Linked DNA regions of Ovis aries. The main gene of each other region encodes a partner of the protein of the gene in region 2 in a complex. Links are inferred from orthologs where the notes say so. Each region holds a gene or a part of one and is shown on either strand. Other genes may lie near its edges.

The links.
Region 1: SMC2 (region 2) and NCAPH share a complex: the UniProt entries of both Homo sapiens proteins name them as parts of the condensin complex. The link is inferred for Ovis aries from reciprocal best matches to the Homo sapiens genes SMC2 and NCAPH.

What each region holds. Positions count from the first base shown.
Region 1 is NC_056056.1:104,030,024-104,034,391, forward strand, and holds the start of NCAPH (condensin complex subunit 2), read right to left. Parts: upstream 2,929-4,368; 5' UTR 2,894-2,928; coding exon 2,875-2,893; intron 1-2,874. UniProt on the Homo sapiens protein: Regulatory subunit of the condensin complex, a complex required for conversion of interphase chromatin into mitotic-like condense chromosomes.
Region 2 is NC_056055.1:18,991,337-18,994,981, reverse strand, and holds part of SMC2 (structural maintenance of chromosomes protein 2), read left to right. Parts: intron 1-2,662; coding exon 2,663-2,773; intron 2,774-2,967; coding exon 2,968-3,012; intron 3,013-3,645. UniProt on the Homo sapiens protein: Central component of the condensin complex, a complex required for conversion of interphase chromatin into mitotic-like condense chromosomes.

The DNA of each region.
Region 1 (4,368 bases), on a different chromosome or scaffold from region 2:
CACGGCTGCTGGGCATCCTTAGGGTCCCCTTGGGAGGACAGGGTGCAAGGGGCCTGGGGCAGAGTAGGGATTAATCAGAGTTGTGATTCTGTCACAAGCAAGTGTGAGAGGCAAGAAGAGGGTAAGGGGTTACGGGCGTTAAGAAGGGAAGTGATCACACAGATTGACCACGGAATGCAAGCTATGTTGGAAGGGAGCGAGGGCATGAGAGAGGTGAGACAGGGAGGAGCAGAGCGCAGCAGACAGGTCTGCCGGGTCGAAGGGCTGCTGGAGCCGGAGGGCGAGGAGCAAGCTGGAACAACAGGCCTGAGAGGCAGGGCGCACTGGGATGAGAGCGGCAGAGTTCTTGATGATGATAAGGTCTAGGGTACCACAGGGTGAATAGCCACCGCCGAGGAGAGCAGGCCAAGAAGCGATCACTGGAGGGGAGAGGTGAAGGAACCTGGGGGCAGTTTTCAGATTTAAGAATCAGAAGACTTGGCTTCAAATTCCAGCTCCATCACTTACTAGCTGGAGAAATTTTAAGTAAATGCTCTAAAGGTTTGCTTCCTCATCCTCCAAATGAGAATAAGAATGTATACCTCGGCTGGTTCAGAACTGGTGATGTGAAAAAACCCCACAATATAACACACGTTAGATAAGAACACATTAGTTTCATAAAAACACATCAGTGACACACAGCAAACACTAAAAGGCTGCCCACGGGCTTCTCTGGTGGCTCAGTGGTGAAGAACCCGCCTGCCGATGGAGGACACAGCTGTGATCCCTGGCTCGGGAGGATCCCAACGCCAAGTGGCAGTGAAGCCCTGTGCCACACCACTGAGCCCTGGCTCTAGGGCCCGGGAGCCACATGACTGAGCCCGCACGCCACAACAAAGGGCAGCTGCTGCTCGCTGCAAGCAGAGAGCCTGCGCAGCAACGAAGACCCAGCACATCCAAAAAGAAAATAAAGATATAAATTTAGAAGGCTGCCCAAGCAAGAGGAAGGAAAGGAATGATGACTGGGGATCAAAGAGAATTAAAAATACAGCTTTATAAGTTTCCCTGATAGCGTCCCACAAGCTAAAGAGTATGATTAGCAGAACCTTCAGCTGAGGGCAAAACAAAAGAAAGTAAAAATATGAAGGAGGCAATAGACAGTTTTAGAAGCTAAATCAAGAGGACTTGTGACTACTTGAATGTGGGCACTGCAACCAATGTAAGGAAGGAAGCTGGACCTCAGAAGAAAAACAGATATAGAAAGCATTAAAGGAGGAATCTGTCTAAGAGGGAAACTTAAAACGGAAATTTGAGCCACACCTTATTTCTCAGAATTGTCTTTCCTCAAATTTCTCTCCTTCCCTTTAACATTATACATCCATTCTTTCAACAGATGGATTACTGAGCTCAAAAACACTGTATATCCACTTCGTCACCTCCTACTCATTTTTCAACCCCTCTGGTGTGGCTCCCATGCCCACCACTGTATGAAAACTGTCTCGTCATCATCACCCACAACTTTCATGCTGCCAAACCCAATGGTCACTTTTCAGGCCTCGTCCCTCTTGAGAGTCAACGGCACCTGAAAGAGCTGACAACACTCTGCCTCTGAGATTTCCGAGGCTTCTTGGCTTCTATACCACTCTTCTCTGAGTTTTGCCAGCCCTTCCTTTTCTAATCAGCTTCTAAACATTGGTGGCAAGTGTTTTCTCTACAGGGTGTTCCTGGTGTTCTCACCTATTTCCATGGTTTTGCCAGCTATACAATGAAAGTGAAAGTGTTAGTCGCTCAGGCCTGTAGCTTAGACTCTTTGTGACCTGACGGACTGTAGCCCGCCAGGCTCCTCTGTCCATGGGATTCTCCAGGCAAGAATATTGGAATGGGTAGCCATTCTTTTCTCCAGGGGATCTTCCTGATCTAGGGATCGAACCTGCCTCTCCTACACTGCAGGCAGATTCTTTACCATCGGAGCCACCAACGAGCTGGGAGCTATACAGTAATGATGACCAAATTTACTTCTTGGTCCATAGGCCACTTCCCTGAGCAGTTCGTATCACTGCCCCTAGCGTCAAACTCTTATCCAAGTGATTACCTGACCCACTCAGGTAAGTCACTTACCACGTCCAAAAAAAGTAACTCTCAATTTCCAAACCTCGTCACAAGACCTACAAAGCCCCTGCTGACCGGTCGGACGTCACTCGATGTTCAGTTACAATGTCATGGTCCTTGCCCGTGTAAGGCTCTTTCTCGCTTACTCTTTTCTGTGTGCTTGCTCCTTCTGCCTGGAACCCGTTTTCCAGAATCTTAAAGATCTCTGAGTTCCTCCCCCGAGTCTGCTCTTCTCAAAGTGAGCACTCAGCCTCATCTGTAACTATTTAGTTCCCTCTCTTCCGAACTAAAACACGCGCTCTAAGAGGATGGGATCTTATCTGTTTTGTTCTTTATTGTAATCGATCTCTACATCTGAGAGAGGGTCTGGCCCAATGAGGACACTGGGGACTTGTTGAAAGGATGTAAACAGAAATGCAAGCCTAATAACCACATAGCGGTAACCGCCATACTCCTATGGCCCTGAACAAACGTGCACTCCGGGAAAACCTCATTTTTTAACGAAGAGACACCACCCAAGGTGTAAGAGCCCGAGGAAAAGGCGTCTGGTATCCGGCTCAAGGCCGGAAGAGCAGCCCGGGCCGACGCCGCGTCCTGATTGGCCGGACCTGCCCGCCTGCCCACCCCGCGCCGGCCCTCCTCTCCCAGCCTGCCGGCCTCTCGCTCAGCCCCGGGAAAACAAAACCAACAAGGCCGAGAATACCGCACTCCCCGCTCAGACCCGCCCGCTTCGCACCGCTTCGCACCGCGCCCTTCCCGCCTCGCCTCCCCGCCGCACAGCCTCACCAGGGCAGGGAGGTCTCATCTTGTCCTCCGCGTCGCCGGAGCTGGTTTTAAATTGCGCGCCGAGACGCCAGGTCGCCGTAACGGCCGTGATGACGCCAACGTGGGCGGGGCCGGAGGCGCGCCTGCGCAGACCGCTTTGGTCCTCCGCGCGAGGAGTGTCGGCCCAGCCGCGTGGAAGGGGGAAATCAGTATTGAGGGCTCTCGGCTCGAGTCGTGAGGGTGGACTGTAGTGGATCCGTGGCGCACGCCCCCACCTCACGAAATAGTATGGAGACTCCGTCCTGTCAAGCGCTAGACGCGAAACTGGGCCCTAAGAACCGAGCGTGGAGCTGAGCGGGCGGCACCTTTGCTTTCACGAAATTCACTAAGGGAGGAGGCAGGTGACCAAGGAAACAAAGGTTGATTTGGCCATCGCGACCTGTGCTGTGAGGGCAGCAGAACACTCACTAAGGAGGGCGAAAGTGATGGACTGGGTGTGGGATGGAGGTGAGAGGGAGCGGACGCCGGAATGCAGAGCGTTTACAGGCCGGGGAACTGATGCAAGATGTTGTGTGTGCTTTAATGAAGACTTTCGCTAGTATATATTCATGCGAAAAGATTCCTAGATATCTTATCCCCAAAAAAGTAAGGTTAAGATTGGAAGTGAGACAGGTGATTTTGTGCTGCCTGTTAATTCCACTCATTGCAACCAAAGAATTGTATTATGGGAGAAAAGACTGTTCCCTCAAATATTCCTAAAGCATCCTTTAATTTCTTAACACGTGACATTTTATACAGTGCTTCTTTGCAAGGGTGCTGTTGGCATTCAGGGTGAAACAGTTCTTAGCGTGTGACACTCTTGCCCTCTTTGTAGGACTGTCCAGTGTCTCTGACACCATCTGCTCACTGAATGCCCTTCAGTCATTTTGGTAACCAAAAAAAAGTACTACCCGTTGAAAACGACTTTTTTAGGCCGATTTACTTTTTGCACAAACTTGTGCTCCCAGTGACCACCTTCAAATCTTTCGTATAAGGCAATGTTCGATAGAAGAAATAAAATGAGTTTACCCAGGAACCGAAATCAGCACCCAGGAGCCATGCTGGGCACCTCCCTCTCCCTCATTCTATCTGCTGGATCCATTGCTGGACTCTCTTTAGTTGCTAAAAGTCTCTTCAATCCTACATCTCTTTTCATCCATGTTTCCTTCCTGCTGGTCCACAGCAGCCACAAACCTGCTCTGACCCCCTTCTCCTGGGGCCCAGGGTGATGTTTCCTAAGTTCAGGATCCTTTTCATCTTCATCTTCACCCAGTTAACTCCCATCAGGTTTCAGCTCATGTCACTTCCTCAGGGAGGCCTTCCCTGATACACTCAAGCGTCCTTATTGGAGGCATCAGTAGAACTTGTCACCCTTGTGGTTTTTTGTTTTTGTGTTTTTCTTTGGCTGCGCTGTGCCATGTGCCACGCAGCATGCGGGATCTTAGTTCCCTGACCAGGGATGGAACCGCGTGCCCC
Region 2 (3,645 bases):
TAAATTTATATATATAAATATTGTATTCTTTATCCATTCATCCATCAGTGGACACTTAGGTTGTTTCCATGTTTAACTGTAACAAATGATGTTGCAGTGAACATGGAAGTGCAGATATCTTTTCAAATTAGGGTCTTTGGTTCCCTCAGATAAATGTCCCGAAGTAGAATTATTGGATCATATGGTAGTTCTATTTTTAATTTTTTGAGGAACCTCCATGCTATTTCCCATAATGGATACATCAGTTTACAGTCCCACAGACAGTATACAGGTTTTCCCTTTTCTCCACATACTAACCAGTCTTTGTTATTTTTTGTCTTTTTGATAAAAGCCATTTTGACAGGTGATGTCTCATTGTGGTTTTGATTTGTATTTGCCTGATTTGTATTTGTGGATGGTTTCCTTTCCTATGCAGAAGCCTTTTAGTTTGATGTAGTCCTGCTTGTTTATTTTTGGTTTTAGTGCCTTTGCTTTTGGTATCAAATCCAAAAAAAAAAAAAAAAAAAATCATCACTAACACAGATGTCGGGAGCTTACCACTTACTTTTTTTCTAGGAGTTCTATGTGCCCATACAGTATTAAAAGAAATTTTGGTTCTAAAGTAGCTTTTCTCAGCTCGTGTTCCATGTCAGAGTTAAACCCTATGGGAAGAGATTTGAGTGAAATTAATTCATTAGATATAATGGATTGCTTAAGACATTAAGACTTAATTTTGTTTTGGAGCCCCCTTGAGAAGAGTTGATATGAAGGAATAAATGTTTTGTATAAGAGCAAAGGCTCTTTTGGCATTTTTATCTATGGAGAAGAACTAAAAAGACAACTGATAATTGATGATACTAGTCTGGTTTAACCATAGGTCACACTTAACTTTCTGCAGATAACATCTTAAGGGAAACTTCTCATTCAAAATCTGCCCAATATATAGAAATCAAACTAGTTTTCAGAGAAATAATCCTCTTGAGGTAGGGATTGATAGTGATTAGAAGCTTCTGATAAGGGAGTGCTAAAAAATTGTCCTTATAAAATTATAATTAGTGTTTGCCTTTTTCAGTGTACTCACGTGAGTTACTTTACTTCTCAATGGCACTGAGATACTTTCAGTCCTCAGCAGATGAAGAAAGAGGAACAGGGAAAACTAAGTTACTTGCCCAAGTTCTTAAAGTATCTGCCACAGTTGGAATGTAAATGTTAGGCCACGCTTCATCTTTGTAGGAACAAAACAGCTCAAGTCTCACTTGGAACAGTTTTAAGTAGAAATTTATAAATTGAAGTATTAGTTAGCTTTTACTTTCTTCTTATATTTGAAGGAAAAGAGAAAGGAGGAATGAAAGGTTGTTGCTGAATGAAAAAAGGCGGCCAGGGTTCTTGGCCTCCGGAGGAGAAGAATTCAACCTGGGGCCAGAGACTAGGCTTGATCGCTCAGAGCTTTGTGTGATAATGTTTTATTAAAGTATAAAGGAGATAGAGAAAGCTTCTGACATAGGCATCAAAAGGGGGCAGAAAGAGTACCCCACTTCTAATCTTCAGCTGGATGTTATATACAGTCACTAGCAGTCTCTTCTCTTGCCTGGAGAATCCCAGGGACAGGGGAGCCTGGTTGGATCTCAGAGTTGGACATGACTGAAGCGACTTAGCAGCAGCGGGCAGTCTGTTAATGAAAGAAAGGAATGTCTTAAAACTCAGAATGGCACCAAGCCCCTTACCCATAAGATGCATTTTGGGATAACCTTGGCACCAAATGGTTCATCCTGGGCCATAAAATGATTAACTTCAATCTTGTAGAAGGACAGATTACCATACAAATAGTTTCGTTTACATAGATTCAGTTCAGTTCAGTTCAGTCTCAGTCGTGTCCGACTCTTTGCGACCCCATGGACTGTAGCCCACCAGGCTCCTCCGTCCATGGGATTCTCCAGGCAAGAGTACTGGAGTGGTTTGCCATTTCCTTCTCCAGGGGATCGTCCCGACCCAGGGATCGAACCCAGGTCTCCCGCATCATAGGCAGACGCTTTAACCTCTGGGAAACAATATCTGCGTATAACATACTGGTTTGTCAAGTAGGTTCTGAGCCAAGAGGCCAAACCTGCTTGAAGACAGAGTCTGGGGTAAATGCATAGTACATTAGCATAGCTTAAGACAAACATTTCCATAAGAAAAATGCATTGGTTATCTCAAGGTTTGAGAATAGTTAACTTCAGGTGAAACCAGGTGTCGTTATGGCAACACAGTATTTTAAGAAAAACCTCCTTTTAAATTTGTATAGAGAAGGAAAAAAATATCGCTAGTTTGTTTCCTCTTGCCAATTAAGAGAGATAAAAATGTCTGACACTTGCAGGCTATTTCCTCCCTTTGGAGACCCCTGGCCTTCCTGCCTGTTACCCTCTCAGGAATTACTGGCTTCAGTTTTCAAAGATACGTACTCTGGAACCTCAGTGTAGCATAAAGTTTGATTTTAGAATTGGAGTGAAGGCCAGAAATAATTGTTGAATCTTAGGGTTATAGATAATATGTACATTTTTTTTAATGTACTTAACTTTTATGGTCCTTAACTATTTTGTTAAGTTACTTCATGGCGTTAAGGCCTTAAGTAATATCCTAATGTAAATTCCAGTGAGACTCACTGGCTTTGATTCTTAAAACATTAATGCAATTATCTTTCCAGATTTTGTCCATGATAGAAGAAGCAGCTGGAACCAGGATGTATGAATACAAAAAACAAAATGCTCAGAGGACTATAGAAAAAAAGGAGGCTAAGCTGAGAGAAATTAAGACGGTAATTAAATTTATATAAAATATTTTTAGGGAAGAGAGTACTTTTCTTTTAGAGTTTCTCTGCTGTAAAAGAGGGAAATTTTACCACACCTGTCCTCTCCCCAGCCTTTGGTCAGTTTTCCTTAGTCTCTTACCTTTTAAATTTCTTTAGTGGTACTTCACGTACTCAAAAATATTTTTTCCTTTATTTTCCAGATACTTGAAGAAGAAATTACTCCAACCATTCAAAAATTAAAAGAGGTGTGTACTGTATATGTGAGGACAGCCAGCTAGAATGTCTCTCAAAATTGGTGATGAATCCATGATGATACTCATGGGGGTGACATGTGTTCCATTCCTCAGAAGTGTTTCTTGGAGATGAGATAAGGAGTTAGAGTTGATAGTCCATGCTCAACCTTCTGCTTATAGGGGACAGTGCATTTCGTATCTGTTAAGTCATAATGGTTTTAGAGATTGACTGTCATAATCTCAGAAAGCAACATGCCAGATTTTCATTCTTTGTTGAAGACAAGTGTAAATCTAAATTTTCCTGGATAGTTAGAATTGAGTGGAATAAATATTTCTTACAGGTATGGTACTCTTAGAACCTCTTGGTAGAGTGAGTAACTTCTAGGGTAAGAGGGGTTATCACTAAAATTACTGCTGTCAAGGCAGTTAGTAGATAATAGGTATTGAAACAGATGGCTGTTTTCTCTATAATCTTTGCACTTCTGACATCATATCACTGTTTCAGTGAAAGTATTTTAAGTCATGTATTTAGAAATTTCTTACATGTTCATTAAAATTTGATAATTCTCAAGCACTGAATCTATACAGTAGCATAGATGTAATTGGAAAAAGTGAAAAATTGTGAACTTTAAGGCTCTGCTTTTG